Linked DNA regions of Schizosaccharomyces pombe. Changing the gene in region 3 together with the main gene of any one other region gives a genetic interaction. Each region holds a gene or a part of one and is shown on either strand. Other genes may lie near its edges.

Region 1 (6,446 bases), 820 kb from region 3:
GAAGCTCTATTTATGATATTTTTAAATAGTTTTTATCAAAGAGTGTCCATGACAATTACCCGTGATTATCAATAAACGAATCTTATAAGAAATTCCAACATATGGCATATTGTGATCGTCGTGTTGTACTGCTGACAGTATAGGCAGCTCGCTCTTCTTTAAGTTTATACACTAAAGCTCGTTTAGTGATAAAATATATTTCGTTCATTAAATTACAACCCATAGTGTCAAATCAAGCTTGCTCATGCTATGCTGTGAAGAATGGAAAAACGCACATGAAAAGTTCAACTAGAATATGGTATTTTTTACTCCTTCCACTTCTCCTTTTAGAACCTATATTACCACTGTGCAATACAAAGGGAACTAAGTGTTTTTAAATGTTTTGCATTAAATGTTCGGAAACCATCTCAATCGCAATGCCTGATGAAACAAAAATTAAAATAGTGTGTTAAATTAATTTAAATCTTTTATTGTTAACGAAAATTATCTTGCCGCCAAGCTTACAGTAACAGTTGACGAGAACCTGTAGCGAATAATGCACATTCGAAAGGATTCACTACCCTAGTGTAAAAATTGTAGCCTGTCAATAAAACATTTTACATTTTCTTAATTTTTAAAAAATTTAGAGAAAATTTTTTTTTACTCTAATTTTTTCGCTCATAAAAATTCGCAAGCTTTTATATAGTGTTTATATGTTAGTTTCACTTCTCATTCCTTTTAGCGTCATTAAAAAAAATCGCAAATTCAAAAAAGCCCTTTTAATTTCAAAAATATTATTATTCCTATAAATTAATTCTATTATTTATTTTATTTTTTTTTTTTTAAATTAAAGAAAGTTTAAATGAATGGTATGATTTCCCATTCATAACTCATCACTTCACTTTCTTTGTTAGGCTTAATTTCCAGGAAGCCTTCTACATCATTTCAATTTGAGCCCTGCAACAGAATGAGGAAAAATATTGAATTAGTGATATATAGATGTTAAAACAATATTTCCTTTAATACTATCTTCAAAACCGTAGGTATGTAGTATGCCTATCCTTTTAAATATTCACTTTCTTTGTTCTCCATTTTTCCTATCTGATCAGTTTAATGCACTCCGCAAACTTTCGTAAACACATTTAAGCTATGAAAAGCGAACAAATTGTTTGACTGCACCTCGAAATCTAAACCTTTAATTCTTAGTTTATTTGCTAACTAGCCCAAAACGTCCAATTGCGTCCTATATTCTCGTTTTTTTCACTCTATTAGCTGTTTCAACTTCCTACTGCATATAGTAATTTTTATTATCTTAAATAATTTAGTAACATCTTTGTACAGCAATACTGCGAAATAGCGTTCTCCTAAGAATCCCATAGTAAGGCACAGATATGCACACTATTGTTAATTGATTCTCTTACATGTCATGTCATTTTAATAAAGATAGCCAGATTTCTTTGTTTTAAACAACAAAGAAAGTGGATTCTCCCCATTTTTATGTAATTGATAATAATCGTTTTGCGAAATGATTTGCTAGTTATATTTAAGTTTAGCCTATTAATAGCATACGCTACCTCGTCTATTGATGAACACTTCTATTGATAGGTTTCGCTTAGCGGTTGTCCACTCGATTTGTCTTTGTGAAGGAGCATTCGGGTACACATATTTCTGTACCTGTTATAAATAACTTGCCTAGCTGTTACAAACATACATATATATATATACCTTTGAATTCCCATTCACAACCTCATTTTCCAAGTATGTTCTCTGACTCTTACTCAAGGTGAAATCTTTGTGGATCGTAGACAAAATGTAGCTTAAGAAAATCTGGTGATTTCTGCAGTCTTATTTATGTGAATAATTTTGTTCGCCTACTCCGGTTTATTCAAACCAAAAAAACTCTGTCAAAAAAAGGCATCATTTTTTGCTTGCTTTAAATCATTTGCATTATCGTTGAATATACCAATAGAAAAACCTAAGCGTTGTTAAATGAATAAAACGACACTTCTGTATGAAAGCTTCGTTGCTTCCTATATTACCATGTTTCAAGGAGATTCGTTGATATACATGGATCAAATTTAGGAATTGCCGGATAAAGCTATGTTCATTTATCCTATTGAGAATGCAAAGGTCCTGATAGTAAATTTTTTTTTTCACCTGAAATTACCGTTTTTCAATTACCTGAACGAATCATGCTTTAATGCTCTCCATTAAGCATCAGTGCTGGATATTAGTTTTGGGAGTACTTCCGCAAAAACGGATCGAAATCCATGTTTCCGTCTGTGTGCTAGTCGTCAATCGCCCTGATACCGATCAACTACTCCAATAGTTAGTTGCTTTTCCCAGCGTCCAGCAAATTGAGCTAGCTAGCTGTCAACTTAATTAGAAGCAATTGTGACGACCATTTATCATTAAACAGAATTAAAATGCACGATATTGCAATTCTTTGTCTCTAGATGCAAAACCTTCAAAAGGAACGGAATTAAGTTAGTTCCGTTTTTCGTTAACCAGCGTCGTTGGTGACCGAAGTGCGAAAAGTTGCATAAACTTTGTTTTTTTTCTATTACAACATAATTTATTTCCAATTGTTTTAAAAACGTGTCTTTCAATGATTCAATTCTTCCCTACAAAATTTTTTTCTGGGAAGACGAATGTCAATTGGATAGGATTCCCACGTTCAAGTAATCGGAAGAAGTTTGACAATGAGCAACATGCATTCAACGATTATTGATTAAAATTCGGTGTTTGTAAAACGATCATAAGTAAGGAGAATTAAAACTGTGTCTATTTTTGGGAATTGAGAGATTGCTCCGTAGGCTTGGTAGACTAATGTTATTAACCTTCATTGTGTCTAGTCATTTTGGGATGCAGACTGTTCTGGATTATAATGCTAACCATTTGTCAATATCAAGAGACTTTCCCTAAATTTACATCCATGTACGATTTCGGTATGAAATTAAAAATTTCTGCAGTCACGTTCAGTTAGTCGCGCCTTTCATTACTCATTTTTTTCACTTGAAAATAAAATATCGCTAATTTTGAAAGCGCGCATGGAGTTTCACTCTTCCGACTTTCGCATCTAGTTTACCATAATTTTTAAGAAAACTGGTTTTACTGAGTTCATGAACGTTGTATTAAAAAGGCTTCAATTATCTCTATCTACTAAATGCAATGTAGAAGGTGGCAGGATTGCGCACGGACTTGTTTTACGATGCTTACGAGATATCGCTTGACTTTTTGGTTCACGGTGGACTCTTTACAACAGCTGATTTTCCATTCCACTAAACGAGCTGATAGTTAAACTGTCCGCATCTTCAAGGATTTGCAAGGGTCAACCTACTATCCAACCTCTTTCTTGGTTTCCGTGACTGCTCTTTGCTGGTAGCAAATCGATACTGACTATGCTTTGGCCAAGCCGAGGTGCACTTGGTTGATAAAGGAAGAGGATTTTTTTCCACCAATTGCGGATATATTTTAACTTTTGGACCGAAACCAAGTGGAAATTCCCTCGATACTTCGCTTTTTATGGTTAAGCATGTTAAAACATTACTTCCTTACATTTTATTGAGTATTTAGCGCAAATGAATCACTGCGCTGGCGGATCTTACGTGGTGAGAGAGCGGCACTTTTGTTCATCTATCGCATGAAAATGCTGGCTGCATTACGCAAGGTCATGTGCTGGATTTTCTACCAGTCCTCAATTATCTGGCGGTTTTTAAATCGCAAAAGTATATAAACAACCTCGACTGTCATCGATTTCAACATCATTTGTACACGATCTTTTCTAACTGAAAGCGGTTGTTGAGTTTTCATTCTTTTGCTCATACAATTCGTTTACAATTGGAAGTTAATTACTACTTCCTTTTGTATTAGATTTTTTCTTAACTTTTACTTTTTTGGTTTTTTTCTTTTTTAGAGTTTTTTTATTCTTCTTGATTTTTGAAAACGCTTGTTTTATTTGTGTTTTCTATAGTCCTTTGTGTTCTTTTTTTTTGAATTGAAATTAATACCCGCCTTTCTTTTTCTTTATTCTCGTTAATTTTTTTGAAGTCACGATGTCACTTCTTGTTAAGGCTGCTTTGATTTTGAAATGTGCTAGTATGCTTCAGGGTGTTTCTGCACAGTATTTCTGCCGTGATACTACTTTCGACAAGAGAACTTTGGAGTCGGTTCGTTTCGAATCGGAATGTATTCCCACTGTTAACAAAAGGGACTTGGATCCTAATGCTGAAGGTGTCTACAAGCGGTCTTTTGACGGAAATATGAACCCTTCCGATTTCCAATTATTACCCCTTGCCCCTCGTGATGGCGCCATTGTCAACGTTGACAAGGAATCATTCAGCAAGCGTTCAACCACGAACATGTTTGATTTTAACTTTTCTTGCTATTTCGGTTCTGATGGCCATAGCAATGACACGTTATGTCAGCAATACATTGATGTAGCTGACTCCGTGGGTGAACAATTCTCACGTGTGCTTAACCTTAACACCCCAATTGTTATCGATGTTACCGTTGTTGGTGCTTGTACTGGCGAGTCTGTTTGTTCCCAGGGTCAAGGTATGGTAGCAGGCAGTATTGGCGGTGAAGCTTCTCCTTCTCGTGAAATTCCCATGGCTTGCAGTGATGGTTTAACTCGTTATTATCCTCAGGCTGTAGTTAAGCAACTTGGTCTTTCTGATCCTCCTTCATATGCTGACAGCGATATTACGATTGCCCTGAACGCTGATGCTAATTTCTACTTTGGCTCTGGTGATATGGGCTACGAAGCAGTAGATTTGGCTTATGTCCTTTTCCATGAAATAACTCATGGTCTTGGTTTCTCAACTGGATGGGGTGTATTCGGATATGAGAATCTCACTGATCCTTATATGAACGCTCTTTTACCCACTGTCTCATATGTTATTGGTGAAATGAATGGAGAAACTATGTATGCTTTCCATGATGTTATTGAGAATGCTTTTGACAGGAATATTTTTTATTCTATCGACCCTAATGAGGGATTACCTACCATTGCTGAATTTTTCCATAGTGTCGGTGCTGCATTTACCCTTAAGGCTGACTCCATTGCCGGTGTTGTTGCCCAGATGAATGATACAACTACTCAGTTCCATATCCAAGCTAACGAAGCTTACCGCAAGGCCATTAATCCCGGTAGATTGGTTATCTACCCTGATGCAGGCATTGACACCTATTCACCTTTTATTTACTTGGATTCTTCCTATGTTCCATTTTCATCTGGATCATCTTTGTCTCATGTAGCTCTTCATCATTATGATTGTGAGCCCAACTTTTTGATGCGTGCTTTCTATACTGCTGGCGCTACTCTTGAATCCTACATCGAGTGTGCTTATGGAAGTGATCAAGCCGATGTCGCTTACGGTCCCATCGGTCCTGCTATGCGTACTGTCTTCAGACGTATGGGCTACTCGGTCAACAACCTTACTGGTGTTACCAACGAATATAGCGAGAGCTTGGCTAAGAGATCGTTGTCTGAAAAACCCAAGACTGCTCCAACTGGTAAACAGCTTGCTCTTCATCCTTTGAGAAGAGAGACATCTATCTTGGATTCAACCAACACCACTTCTACTAATGCCACCAACACTACTACAACTACCTCATCAAGTTCAACTGCTTCATCATCTGCTTCTGCGTCTAGTTCAACATCCGCCACCTCTGGAGCAGCTGGTGATTTGTTCAGTGTTTCCAAGAATTTGATGATGACTTTGACTGCAGGATTGTGCTTGATTACTGCAAGTTTGTTTTAACGCGGTTGATTTTCAAATTGAATCTTCCTGATGTATATTACTATATAATAAAGCTTTAAATTAGCTGTTAGTGAGATTTTTATGATTTGGCCATCAAAGTCAATTAATTTTTATTGCTAGGAGATGATACTATTAATGACGATATGAAGCCTTGTTTAATACTTTGTTTTCTTATGCAAACGCGAAACACTAGTTTTATTTTGAAGATTGCTACTAAATTATAATTTTGGTTGATAACTGTATCAATATACCTTGCACATATTTCTATAGAATTTCGATCTGCCCTTTTGTTTGTTAAGTTATAAAAACATTTTATCTTTTTACAAGATACTTTACCCGAATTGTGTGATTATAATTCCGTTGCTTTTTAACCGACGTGATGATGTATATTTTATATATATGCCTCTATAATAGTGTTTGGGTCATTTGTCTCACTCAAATTTTCGTGTGTATTTTACAAACACTTAATATTTTTTTTTTTTAACTCTTTAATGAAGGGAATGCTTTCAGTTTTACGCGAACGAAATTTAATCGATTGATGTTTTTGTTTTAATCTTAGTTAAGTCGCTGTAAAAAAGTAGTGTGATAGAAGGTACTTTGTATGACGATAGAGCGGTAGATGCGATTAATATTGTGAGAGTGAGTTTTGTTACAATCGGATGACATGTGTAAAAAAATCCTATATACTAAGATTGATATGGT
Region 2 (6,446 bases), 3.8 Mb from region 3:
TCGGTTTTTTGATACAAAAGAGTTAATGCTTCCGAATTACAACTCAAATCGTTACACAATTCATTAAAAGTGGTAACAAAAATCGGCTAGGAGAGAAAACTCATGATAAGGAAAGAAACATAAATTCAGTGTTCATAGCAAGAAGTAAACAAAATGGGCATGTTACTTCAGTTTAGAAATAATGGCATCGGTATATTGAACATTGTTTGACTTGCCGCCCAAATCCTTGGTGCGAGCATCGGGATTGTTTGCAAGGGTATCAAAGATAGCTAATGGTAATTAGTAAACAGACAAAATCTTAATTTAGTAAAACACATACCTGATTCGATGCGTTTGGCATAATCATTTAAATTCATGTGCTTCAACATCATTACAGAAGATAACAGTAAAGCAGTAGGGTTGGCTAAACCTTTTCCAGCAATATCAGGGGCAGTACCATGAACAGCTTCAAAGATGGAAGCTTGGTTGCCAATGTTTCCGGAAGGAGTCAAACCAAGACCGCCAATTAAACCAGCGCACATATCAGAAACAATATCACCGTATAAATTGGGCATAACCATAACTGTGTTGTTATAAGGGACAGGATCGGTGACAATCTTCAAGCAGGCGTTATCCAAGATTTCCTCCCTAAGCTCGATATCAGGATATTCAGGTGCAAGCTCCTTGGCGCATTCCAAAAATAAACCGTCAGCCATGCGCATAATGGTAGCCTTGTGGACTACGGTGATGTTGTTCTTGCCAGTTTGGCGAGCATATTGGAATGCATAACGAATAACACGCTCAGATGCTGCGCGAGTAATTAATTTAATCGATTGAACAACGCCTGGTATAACTTCATGCTCGATGCCTGAGTATTCACCCTCAGTGTTCTCACGAATCAAAACGGTATTAACGTTATCATAAGGTGTTTTGTATCCCGTAATAGATACACAGGGACGAACATTGGCAAACAAGCCGAAAGTACGACGCAAAGTAAGGTTCATAGAAACATGACCCTTCCCAATTGGGGTTGCCAATGGACCTTTCAAAGCCACTTTATTTTTCCTAACAGATTCCTTAGCATCATCAGGAATAGTAGTAGTACCTAAACGAATTAGTAAACGTGATTTTCGTGCGCGATAATCTCGAGGAGACATGGAAGGACTTGACAAGCAGGAACAAGCATTGCTGACAAAAACGTATAAAAGAAAGGCCAAACTGCATACAAATCCAACCATCTTCTCTTATACTTGACATACCATTTTTCAAAATAGGATATACTTTTACACGTTCCCATTCGATAGGGACCTACAATACAAGTCGTTAATGACTAAATGACGGATGACTCGACAAACCTTTGCAGCCTTAAATATACGTTCTACAGACTGAGCAATTTCTGGACCAATGCCATCGCCAGCAATCATCGTTACTGTGTAGTTCCCGTTGGCATTCTTTACTCCTTCATATGTCCCAGCGGCAGCCTTCGTTGAAGAAAATCTCTGCTAAAAATAACTCTGTTAATATAATCGATCAAATAATCATGAAAAGACGAGTAAGGCTGCTTAAACCAGCGATTTATCGCTTAGGAGCCAATTCACAACTTACAAAAGAGTAACAGGCGCTTCTTGAAAACGTCCGTAAAGAACCTGCAGTACGTAAAGTAGAAAGCATTGACATTGTTTTTTTATAACTAATGTAGCATGTATGGAGAGTGCAAGATGTCGGACCGTGATATAAACAAAGGATTCCGAGAGTCGTCGCATCATCCTTAATTTGACTTTACCGAATTTTGTGGAGATAGAACGTGGAGTTAAGCAAGGGTAATTGAGTGGAGTTTAACCATTTAGAAAGCCCCTCGAAGCGGAATGAGGAATTGTTATTACATAGCGCTCTTTTTTACTGCATTGTCTATTATTGCGTTATATAGTTTTTAACGATAATTTCAGTAGTACATAATTATTAATGTTGTTTAAAAAACACATCTATTTGGTTCTTGAGGTATATTCAGTAACTAAAGATGTAATTGTCTAAATTGAGAGGATAATTCGACGAATTGGTTTTGCTTGAATTAAAAAAATTGTAATTTTGTAGCTTCACACTGGTGTTATTGATATCTTGACTTTTGTATTGTTCTCAACTGGAAAATTAGTGTTGTCATATACTAGGTGTGCTTTTTTAATTTTTCGGATTATGCTTTATTTTCTCAATTACTCTTCCAAATATATTCATTCATTCAACAAAAAGATGTTTTGCTATTTGTCTTAAATAGTGTAGCATTTTAGAATACGTAGTTCCTATTTCAAACTATCTCAACCATACACTCACTAAAAACAATAACGATTATTGTGTGTTAAAGGCATTTAAAGATTTTTTAGGAATAGTTAAAAAAGCATAGTGACATGTAACGAAGCGTACTGTTTGCCCGCACAGTCGAAGTTGCCGCTTAGAATTAAGCTTCGGTTAATAAAAACTAGCAAGTTATCCTAACGAACTGTGGGAAAAGCTTATTCAGGAAAACTTCGTGGATCCCGTTAAAATACGTTATGATAACTAATAGCGAACTGTCTTGTTGCTGTGTTTTGCAATATTACTTTTAAATAGTATAAGACAGTATGTTAAGTTAGGTTTTCAGAGTGCATACTCTATTCGTTAATTCGTGCTTTCAACTCTTTATCTTTCAAGAGTGCAAGAATCTCTTGCAAATTCGAGCTTGGTCTTGCAACTGTTTATTCTAATCCTCCAGCGTCTTGCTGGTGGTTTCGCATGTCTGAACATAATTACCAGTCTGATAGGGAAGTGGCAGAGGATCCTTTTCTTAATTATGAAGCCTCTGCTAATCAATTATCCTCAAATTCGCGCGAATCTACTCCAAGAGGTTCACCATGGCGCGCTGGTATGAGATCCGCATCTTTAATGACAGAACCTTTAGAAGATTCCATGTATAGCGATAATAATTATTTAGACAATGGGGTCTCTTTTACAAAAGATGAAAATCCTCTTTACTCGCCGTCTTGGCCGAGTTTGGCGGATGCAAACGTGAATTCAATGAAGTCTAATAATGCTATACAGGAGCATAAAGCAGCGAAATTTGTTTCTGAAAAGTCTTTGGAAAAAGTATCGACTGCAGATAATAACCTTGTGCTTCAGGAGCTTGAAAATCTCCGAGAACGCTTAAATCAAGTAGAGCTTCAACTCAGTGAGCGACCCTCTTCCTACTTAGGCTATCATAACAATCTTAGTCCATATCGTTCTCCTAACAGTTACCCTTCTCTTTTACCCTCTACTCATTCACCTCACTCACCGGCGCCGCTAAGCACGATGCAAACGGCTCTTATGCGGCTTCGCACTTATCATCCTTCGCCCATCATTTTAAAGCCCGTAGAGCAAGCTGTAAACCATGCAATCACCTTGGTAAACACCTCTCCATCGAGTGTGGTGGATGCGTTATGCCGAAGCCTTGCCGAATTGTGTCTTGGCTTGGTGCAAGAAGCGATCGATGCATCTATTTTGAGTCAACAGGAAAGCTCAAACTCTTTAGATCTTGTCCGTCATACACCACCATTGAATTATACCAGTTCTGTTGATTCTTCACCACAACGTATGGCCTCTGATAGTTATGGTAGGCCTTCTCTGCATTTAAATGACCCCTTTCCATCAGTTGATCTTCAATCAAATGAACTTTCTCATCATAATGTTAGAACAACTCTCTTTTCTGATGATTCCCGATTTCATTCAAAAATTCATACACATTCTACTCCTCCTTCTCAAATGTATAGTGCTGCATCTCATTTCCGGTACCGTAGCGATCCATCAACCCGTCATGTCTCGAATTCTACAAACAAATCGAGCTTGCATCCATCACCAACGTCTTTGCGAGTTGCTCATCCTATTATCCCCCAGAGGGCGTCTCCAGCATCACAGTCTTTTCCTTCTCTTCAAGACACTCCTTCCCCCTAGTTCGGCCTATTACAAGTTTAATTTTGAATCAATTTTTCTTTGTGTTTATCAAGTAAATCAGGTTCTTCTCATACATGTAAGTTCATACAAACATTGATTGAGGAGTGCTATCATTTAATTTGTCGTCCCTCTCGTACAAGTTTTTATTTTTTTTATATCGCTCATTTCTTTAAGAAGTTGCTAATCCTACTAGGACGTCTATTTTAATGTTATTGGATCTGGCTGCATCTCTATTTGCTGCATTGCTTGCTCAAACTTTATAGTATGAGAACGTCTTAAAATTTGAGGTTTTGTTCATCTTCTCATCAATGCTATTTTTTTAAAATTGATAATTCAGTGCAGATCTTTTCATTATTTAACCATATACGATAATTTAGATTTGGGAAGTGGATGTCTTCTTCGCAAGACGAAATGGTACATTGTGTTTAATTAGCTTTATTTCGCACCTGATTTATAAAATGAATCAGATAATTTAACTCGTTACTGTATTTACTTTTAGTATCTTTCTATATTCAAGTTTACCAACTTGTTAAAATGCGTTACCTCTGTCACCTGTAGAAAAGCATCAAATGCTGTAGCTTGGTAGGAGCTCACAATACTTCCATACATCTTTTCAGTCTATCATCAATTATTAGAACACTGAAAATTTGTATTCTCCAGTTATCTTCTTGCAAGTTAAATATTATAGAGGAAGCTAAGTTGAAATGGTTATTGGTGCCATGAATGTTTGAAGGTAACTCACAAAATGAATTCTGAATCAGCGAAAGAAAATGCAGAAGAGCAAATTGAAACGAAAGGACGTGCATTGAAGTCCTCAACAAATATAGAACGAAAAGAGTCTTCCTTACAACCGCTTCGATCAAAACTTCCTTTGAGAATGTCTCAAAAACTACCTCCCTTAAAAATTTACACCTCCCAACTTCCCCTGGTTTCCCACAAAAATATGTTGGAAAACGAAGAGGAAGCTAGTCATTCACAATTGTTTACTCCGTGTCCTGTCCCTCCATCTTTCCCGAAAGCATCTAAACCCAATTCTAATCAGCCGTACCCCAATGGCCCTGTTTGTATCTATCCCCCAAATATTTACTTATATGCCAAACCTACTATGCCCATTATTCAATCTTTTGATGTTGTTATAAACGTGGCGAAGGAAGTTTTGCATCCATTTCGCACTGATGGCCGTCATTATAGAGATTCTAAACATAACCTGGACATTCAAGTATTTGATCACATCGAATATGTTCACATTCATTGGGATCATGATACACAGTTTGCTTTGGAACTTGATAAGCTTGTTTCTTTTGTAGCTTACAATGCCATGCAACTTAACAAAAAGGTTTTAATTAATTGTCAAATGGGCATTTCTCGCTCTGCTTGTTTGATGATCGCGTTTATAATGAAGACATTAAACCTAAATGTTTCTGATGCTTATGAGTACGTTAAAGAACGATCTCCATGGATAGGTCCCAACATGTCTTTGATTTTTCAGCTTTCAGAATATCAACAAATTATTCGTAAAAATTCTAGTCAAGGTCCCTATCAATCGTCATCCTTGAAACAATCCAAAAGGAAATCTGAAGGTAATTTGCTTTTCCCTGAAAAGCCTCATAGTGCACAACTGCCTCTTGTTAGCCCGTCCACGTCTGAGTCAAGTATGTTCACAAATCTTCGAAGAACTCGAAGTAGCGGCAGTATAAGTAATGATGCTTCTTGACAATGCCAATTATTTATAAATACATAAAAAAAGGGAAATTTTGTCTATTCAAGTTCCGTTGTAAGTTGGTTTTTATACTCTTCCTTATGGGTCTTAATTCTAAGCTTATCAGCTGCTTTTAAAAAATATCCACTTTATTATGAAGACTTACGGGTCGCTCGTCAGTTATTCATATCATTCGTCATGGACTTTTTTACAGTTTGCATTGCTCGCTTCCAATGTATAGTTATAATTCTTGTTTAATACTTAGCTTGCAGATGTTTTATCGTTCTATGTTGCGAATTTGTATTTACCTCAGTTTTTTACTTCTAGTCTTTGGTTCTGGGTCGGTTTGTTTACCAATGAAAAAAACTAGAGTTTTCATGTCATTTGTCATTGTTATTGAGTGAAATTTGTGCGTCGTGTTATTTTCTAATTCATTATTCTATTTTTATGCTATTTCCTTGTTATTATTACTAAACTTAATATGAGGTTGTGAATATTTATTCAACATCATCAGTATCTATTCTTATTCCCAGTTAAAATGATGTCCCTTCTTATCAGCAACACGGTGTCTTTAGTTGATATAAAGCATTCCTTCAATCGTTAGAAATTTGTAAATTTCCGAGTTTACGATTCGTACTAACTTGAGCATTCATGAATTTACAATTAAAGTTGGAAATGGTTAAATTATAAGTACATTACATTATTGCTCATAGAATGGACGTGTGAAAAAAAATGTTAACCCAAGCTTTAAAATCATTGCTAATAGCAAATAAAGCTAGTATTGAAACTACTGCAAAGCTAAGATTTAAGA
Region 3 (6,446 bases):
TAAATAATGAAAAGATTTTTTTTATCATGATGGCACTATCGTAATAATCGACAGAGAGATAAAAGGGTCATAAACAAATAAGTTTAGAGAAGGAAGGATATGCTATGTCACAAGTGTTGCACTATATAAAACAATCATTTAGAAGCATAGTTTAAGGACAAATGGTGGTAAAGGCTAGTAATCGGAGGATCCTAAAAGATCAGCGACCGCTGGCATTCTTGAAGAGAACACGTAAACAATAGACCATTCTAAAATACCAGAGAAAAACCCGGTACATTTTTCAAAAGTAGTATGGTAAAAGGATGCAGTAACAAATAACATCCACCACCAAAGTCCAAGAAGACCAAAAAGTACTTTAGTAGATGTAGCTTTTATTCCATTATTCAAAATAAATGAAAAGTTTTCAGACAACATAAACAAGCTCGAGTGAGTTAACAAGAAAACATGGCCCGAGAGATCATGACCACCAGACCAAGATCCGTTTAATCCCTTGCAAGTGGAGGCGGTAAGTGGAATGAACACAGATGAATCACCATCAAAGTTTTTGCAACTTCCGCCAGATAATGCAAAGGTTCTATCAATCAGGCCAGGTCCTATAAACCATTGGGTTACAAACATCCACCATAGAGTGGCCACTATATACCTTGAAATAAACTTGAAGTCAATTTTGTTTCTCTTTTGATCCCAAGCATGATAAAAATATACTAAAGAAGTCCAGAACCAGCCTCTTTTTACAAAAATCAAATTAATCAAATTTTTCGAGTTTCCAAAGTAAGAGGTAATCGACCATTTGTCAACATAAATGCTATAAATGCTACCTAGAAGAAGTGTAGTGGCATATATTTCAAACAGAAGTATATCTTTGCGACGAAGCTTCAATATAGAGGTTTCTTCATTCCAATAATGACTAGCAGTTTTTTCAGTCATTTTTTTTAAATAATTTTTATTAGGCAGACAACGTATACAAATTAAACTTAAAAATAAAGATAGAACGGTGTAGTGAAAAGCAATTAATTCATTGAAAGAGTTAAGGACATGTATACCCTGGGAAGTTTGGTGTAGTTACACCACCAACTTACGTGCGTAGACTAGAAAAAAAACGAATCATTGCCTCACGTTATAAGAGAACGAAAAGAAATAGTCCTTAATTGTGGATAATTAAATATACGAATTCTTTCGTTTTTTAAGTTGCCATATAACGCCTATTTTGCCTATTTTTGTTAAAAAGCTAGCAAGGCGTAAATCTATCATTTCTCGCTACGATTTGAGTATGCATAATCAAGCCAAAATTATTTCTGTTAAAAATGTTAAACCCATAAAATTACTATAAAGGAGGTATTTGTATAAAGAAAATTAGAAAAACCGTTAGCAATTAATAAAAAGTATATATTATTATGACTTTCCTATTTATTTCATACAACAAGCGAACTGGAAGACAGTTAGACTCATAATATTTTGCCATTAATCAGATTATGCATTCTCCAATGTAAAGAAATTTAGCATAAGAATTTTCAAACAGAATTTATCAACTTACAGTGCTAACATATGACACTATTTCTTCTAATCAGACCAGACTTGACGAAGGAACTCTTCCATGTCCACATGAATTCTCTCAAACGCTTTAACCCAAGGATGGGTAAGCATTTTTTGGGGTCCAGGACGACGAGTTTTGTCTTTATCCAGACACACGCATAGAAAATGTTGAAAGGATTTCGACCATTTAATACCGGGTTCTTGAGGTAAAAGGGGAGGTGGCATATTTATTATATACGAGAGCAATTCAATAGGCATTGGTGGGGGGCTACCCTCGGGAGGGAATGGAAACCGGTTTAATGCGACCTCCATCAATGTTAAACCCAAAGACCATATATCTGACGATATAGTATAAGATCCCCCAGAAATTCGTTCAGGCGCCATGTAATACGAAGTTCCAGTGAATGTGCCAGCGAGAGAGTTAACCAATTCTCCAGATACACCAAAATCGCATAACTTCACTTGACCTTTTGACGTCAGAAGGATATTTGATGGCTTAATATCACGGTGTATTATTTTCCTGTCATGTAAATAGCTTAAACCGCTAAGGACACCGAATGCAATCTTGCCCAATGGTCGTTCTCCAGTGCGTCCACCTTGACTGCGTACGCGTTTGTATATCGCGTCGAGAGATCCTGCTCCGCAATATTCCATAGCTATGTTTAACTGACACTCTGCGTTATTGTAGCAAGCGCCATAATATTTAACGATGTAAGGAGAGGTACAACTTCTGTTGATTTTTAACTCTCGAAGGAGTTGCTTTTGTAAAGCGGTATTCGGAGCAGCTAATACAGTTTTCATAGCGAAAATCATCTGAGTCCCACGAATTCTGCATTTCCTTACAGAGCCACTAACACCTTCACCTAGACTGTTCATGTACAAAATACCTCCATTTGTAACCAATTCATGTAGGTGATCATCATCAAGTTCTTCCAGAAAGGAAGGAACAAATGTTTTACTATCCCGGCTCTCCTTTCGCTGAGTTAATTTCGACTCGCTAGAAAACACCAGGTCTGTAATCTCGACAATTCCTTGATTGTCATTACGTTCAGGATGACTTATATATTCTTCAGAGAACCCATTACTGGTATCTAAGTTCAAGACAGGTTTTTTGGACATAGAGGCATGGGCGCTTTCTTCGATATTTTTTCAATTTGTAGAAAGAGTGACAAGAGATGACTGATACCAAGTCCAAAAGTTTGTTTGTATTTTTAACAAACTTCAATTTTTATTCTTCTTTTCCAAAAACGCAAGGAAAGTAAATTCTAACGTATGGTCTTCCCGCTAAATAAACCTACCAATTATAAACTTTTTTGAAGTTTTTGCTTCCTGAATTAGAAAATTAGAGGATAGCACTATAAACGGAAACTTTGATGGAAGAGTTAATTCCTCGCAAACAAACAACCGAGGCCTCTATTAGAAGAAATCGTATAGTTTTCGGAAGCTATACTAAATACGATTGACCATTATTAGTATAACCTACATTTCTAAATTAGGACTTCACTAAATAACTTATGGACTTAGCTATGTAGATACGTTATTTTAGAATTAGTGAGACCTTTGTTAAAACGACTTCGGGAATTGTTCATTACGAGTATAAGTTAATGTAATTATGAGACTATCATATCCTGTGAGCTTTCTTCTTTTATTTACTATAAATGTCTACCTCTAAAATTATAATTAATTTTGTTCAAGGAAAACATAAAAGAATATATTTATCATTGCATGATTTTCTATGGCTTATAATAACTACATACAATCCGTTAACTATTATAAGAACACGATTAACTACGTAAAGTTCAAATATTGTGTTTTGCACGTTGGTTTACCGAAAAAGCACTAAATAACTTACAAGCAAACTGAAGAAATTAGTTTGAGTTCTATCTGTACTTATTTTAGAGAACAATAAAAACTTTATGTTAACCATATGAAGATTTTATCTGTGTATGTTGACCTAAAAGTCATTGAAAAATGTCGCATCAGCAATAATGTCTAAAGCAGCGTAATGTAGCGTAGCGTGTTAATTTTGCAGTAAGGGCAACAAGTTGAATCCCAATAGTTTGGTTTGACAGTACAGTAACCATTATATTTAATTTAAATAAAACCCTTACATCGGGGAGAAAACATGTCAGAACATACAAGAAAATCATTCTCTGATTTAGGAATATCGCCATGGCTTATCGATACGCTAAAAGCACTTGCAATATATGAACCTACAGATATTCAGGAAGGAGTAATTGCTCAGATTTTAGAAGGTATGCTTACAAAAATTAATAAAGTAAAATTAAGTGTAAAATGTGCCTAACAAATAAAAATTTATAGGACGTAATTGTATTGGAGGTGCTAAAACAGGTTCTGGTAAAACTGCTGCTTTTGCTTTGCCTATTATTGAAAAATGGTCTAAGGATCCATCAGGAATATTTGCTCTTATTTTGACACCAACCAGGTATAAAATATAACATTATTGTACTTTTTCTTAAAATTTAAATTAGTATAAATGTTAACTATTCTACTACAATTAGCTAACTCGAACAGAGAACTTGCAATACAGATTGATGAACAATTTGCTGCTTTAGGTGCTAATCTTAATTTAAAGCATGCGCTCATCGTTGGAGGCATGGATATGATACGACAATCTATTGATTTATCGAAACGGCCCCATGTTGTTGTAGCTACTCCTGGTCGCCTAGCTGACTTGATTAGAAGTAATGGTGAAGAAACGATAGCCGGACTACGTCGAATAAAATTTTTGGTAATGGACGAAGCCGACCGTTTGTTGTCTCCTACCTTTGCTGATGACTTGGATGATTGCTTTTCTGTTCTTCCAGCCTCTGAAGATCGTCAAACGCTTTTGTTTACTGCAACTGTTACTGATGCTATTCGTCAGCTCAAATATCAGCCACAGAAAAATAATAAGCCTCCCCTTTGGTTATACGAAGTTGAAACTGATAACATTTCCGTACCTTCTACTTTGCAGCAAAGTTACATATTTGTTTCCTCACAAGTACGAGAAGCTTATTTGGTGCATTTGTTAACGATTCCTGAGAACGCTAAAAAGTCTGCAATTATCTTTGTAAATCGGACTCGCACTGCTGAATTGATATATTCTATTCTTCGATTGCTCGAGCTTCGTGTCACCGAACTTCATTCAGAAATGGTACAACGTGAAAGGATCAATTCACTTGGACGGTTTCGTGCGGAAGCTGCAAAAATTTTGGTAGCCACTGACGTTGCAAGCAGAGGTTTGGATATTCCTTCTGTGCAACTAGTAATTAACTTCGACCTTCCTCGTGACCCAGACGACTATATTCACCGAGTAGGTCGTACAGCTCGTGCTGGACGCAGTGGCGAGTCCATTTCCATTGTAACGGAGAGAGATGTTGATTTAGTCCATGCTATTGAGGATCGAGTAGGAACTAAGCTTTCTGAATATGAACACGTGTCAGAGAATAAGATGCTTGAATACATCAAGGAAGTTACGGACGCTAAACGCCAGGCTTCTCTTGAGATGATCGATAGGGGATTTGGTGAAAGGAGACAGAAGCGAAACGAGAAAAGGCTGATGGCCAATGGTATTTCTAATAAATTAAAAAATTCTGGACGCAAAAAGAAAGCGAAGAATACTTTATCTACGGAAAAGTAGTATAAAAGTTTTGAAGTTCAAGGTTGTTTTAGTGGTTTAAGGTATATATATATACGGATAATAATATTTAAATTTTGTTTACTTAAAGGAGGTTGCGGTTTTATTGACCACATTAACTATCAAATGTGACGATGAAATAGATTTTATAACAAGAATGCAAAGAATGTGGACATTGCGACATTGTGGAAAAATATTTTTTATGGACTAATATTTCTCCCTATTAATTTTGATTCTAAATATTCTTAAGTACAGGTAATTGTTTACAAAGCATCAATCTTCCTAGACCGTTACCGTAATTTGTGGATACCACGGTATATTAGAACCCAATGGCCTTTATGATATAACTAACCAACATTATAAAAGCAAATCTGCCATACCCAATTCGTTTCTTTCTTTTAAATAATCTCTAATCATATGAATAAAAAGGATAAGAAGTTTAATTACATTTTTGGGTCAGAGATTGTTAATGATGTAAAAAAGCGATTACCTTATTACAAATCTGACTGGATTGATGCATGTCATTATCGAGTACTTCCTGCTTGTTTAAATATTTATTTTTCAAAGTATGTGCGTTTCAAATATACATTTATCACAATTGACATTTTATCGTGCTTTTTCTAAACTTGCTAGCTTACTCCCAGAATTAGCATTTGCCTTAGATATGTTTGCAAAAACAAATAACAGTTTTGGGGTGAATGAGGTTTTACTTGCCAGCGTTTTAGGTTCAGTTGTTTTCGCGTTGCTTTCTTCGCAGCCTTTGTGCATCGTCGGGGTTACAGGGCCTATTACAGTCTTTAATTATACTGTTTACGATATAATGCATGATAGAGGAACACCATATTTCCCTTTCCTTTGCTGGATTTGTCTTTGGTCAATGATTTTTCACTTCATCATTGCTATAGCAAATGGGGTTTATTTTGTAAAGCATATGTAAGTTCGCTTTTTGCTTTTATGTTCTTGTGATATCCAGCTAATTGAAAACTGTAGCACAAAATTCAGCTGTGAAATTTTTGGCCTATATGTTGCGTTTATTTATTTGGAAAAAGGCGTTCAAGTTCTTTGTGACCAATTAAAGTATGGGCTTACAAATACATTTCTGTCAATTACTATTGCTTTATTATTTTTAATGGTGGGATGGCTTTGTGATACAGTAGGAAAATCTTCTTTATTCAGTTACAAAGTACGTATTCTACTTCTTGATTACGGACTTGTTGCATCCATCATTTTTTTCAGTGGGTTTCAGCACATTGGGAAAATGCGGGAAGTTTCT

Evidence for each region.
Region 1: mutations in pek1 (region 3) and SPOM_SPBPB7E8.01 together harm fitness more than expected from each alone (negative genetic interaction), as found in Schizosaccharomyces pombe (one large-scale study listed by BioGRID).
Region 2: of pek1 (region 3) and pmp1, extra expression of one rescues a mutant of the other (dosage rescue), as found in Schizosaccharomyces pombe (2 studies listed by BioGRID).

The regions. Positions count from the first base shown.
Region 1 is NC_003423.3:3,490,483-3,496,928, forward strand, and holds SPOM_SPBPB7E8.01 (uncharacterized protein), read left to right. Parts: upstream 1-3,739; 5' UTR 3,740-4,034; coding exon 4,035-5,744; 3' UTR 5,745-6,295; downstream 6,296-6,446.
Region 2 is NC_003423.3:492,000-498,445, forward strand, and holds the start of pmp1 (dual-specificity MAP kinase phosphatase Pmp1), read left to right. Parts: upstream 1-4,533; 5' UTR 4,534-4,813; coding exon 4,814-5,650; 3' UTR 5,651-6,446. Other genes in the region: idh2 (isocitrate dehydrogenase (NAD+) subunit 2), read right to left, coding at 163-269, 320-1,084, 1,239-1,287, 1,335-1,481, 1,585-1,656; gamma tubulin complex linker Mto2, read left to right, coding at 2,743-3,936. UniProt on the Schizosaccharomyces pombe protein: Dual specificity phosphatase that dephosphorylates MAP kinase pmk1 on a Tyr. Has a role in chloride ion homeostasis by inactivating this pmk1 MAP kinase pathway.
Region 3 is NC_003423.3:4,308,969-4,315,414, reverse strand, and holds pek1 (MAP kinase kinase Pek1), read right to left. Parts: upstream 2,973-6,446; 5' UTR 2,653-2,972; coding exon 1,561-2,652; 3' UTR 1,275-1,560; downstream 1-1,274. Other genes in the region: fit1 (CoA pyrophosphatase (FIT) family lipid storage protein), read right to left, coding at 175-927; ATP-dependent RNA helicase Dbp8, read left to right, coding at 3,659-3,788, 3,856-3,979, 4,069-5,176; bor1 (HC03 family inorganic anion exchanger), read left to right, coding at 5,591-5,739, 5,807-6,106, 6,164-6,446. UniProt on the Schizosaccharomyces pombe protein: Involved in the mkh1 signal transduction pathway that plays a role in cell wall integrity. Activates spm1/pmk1 via phosphorylation.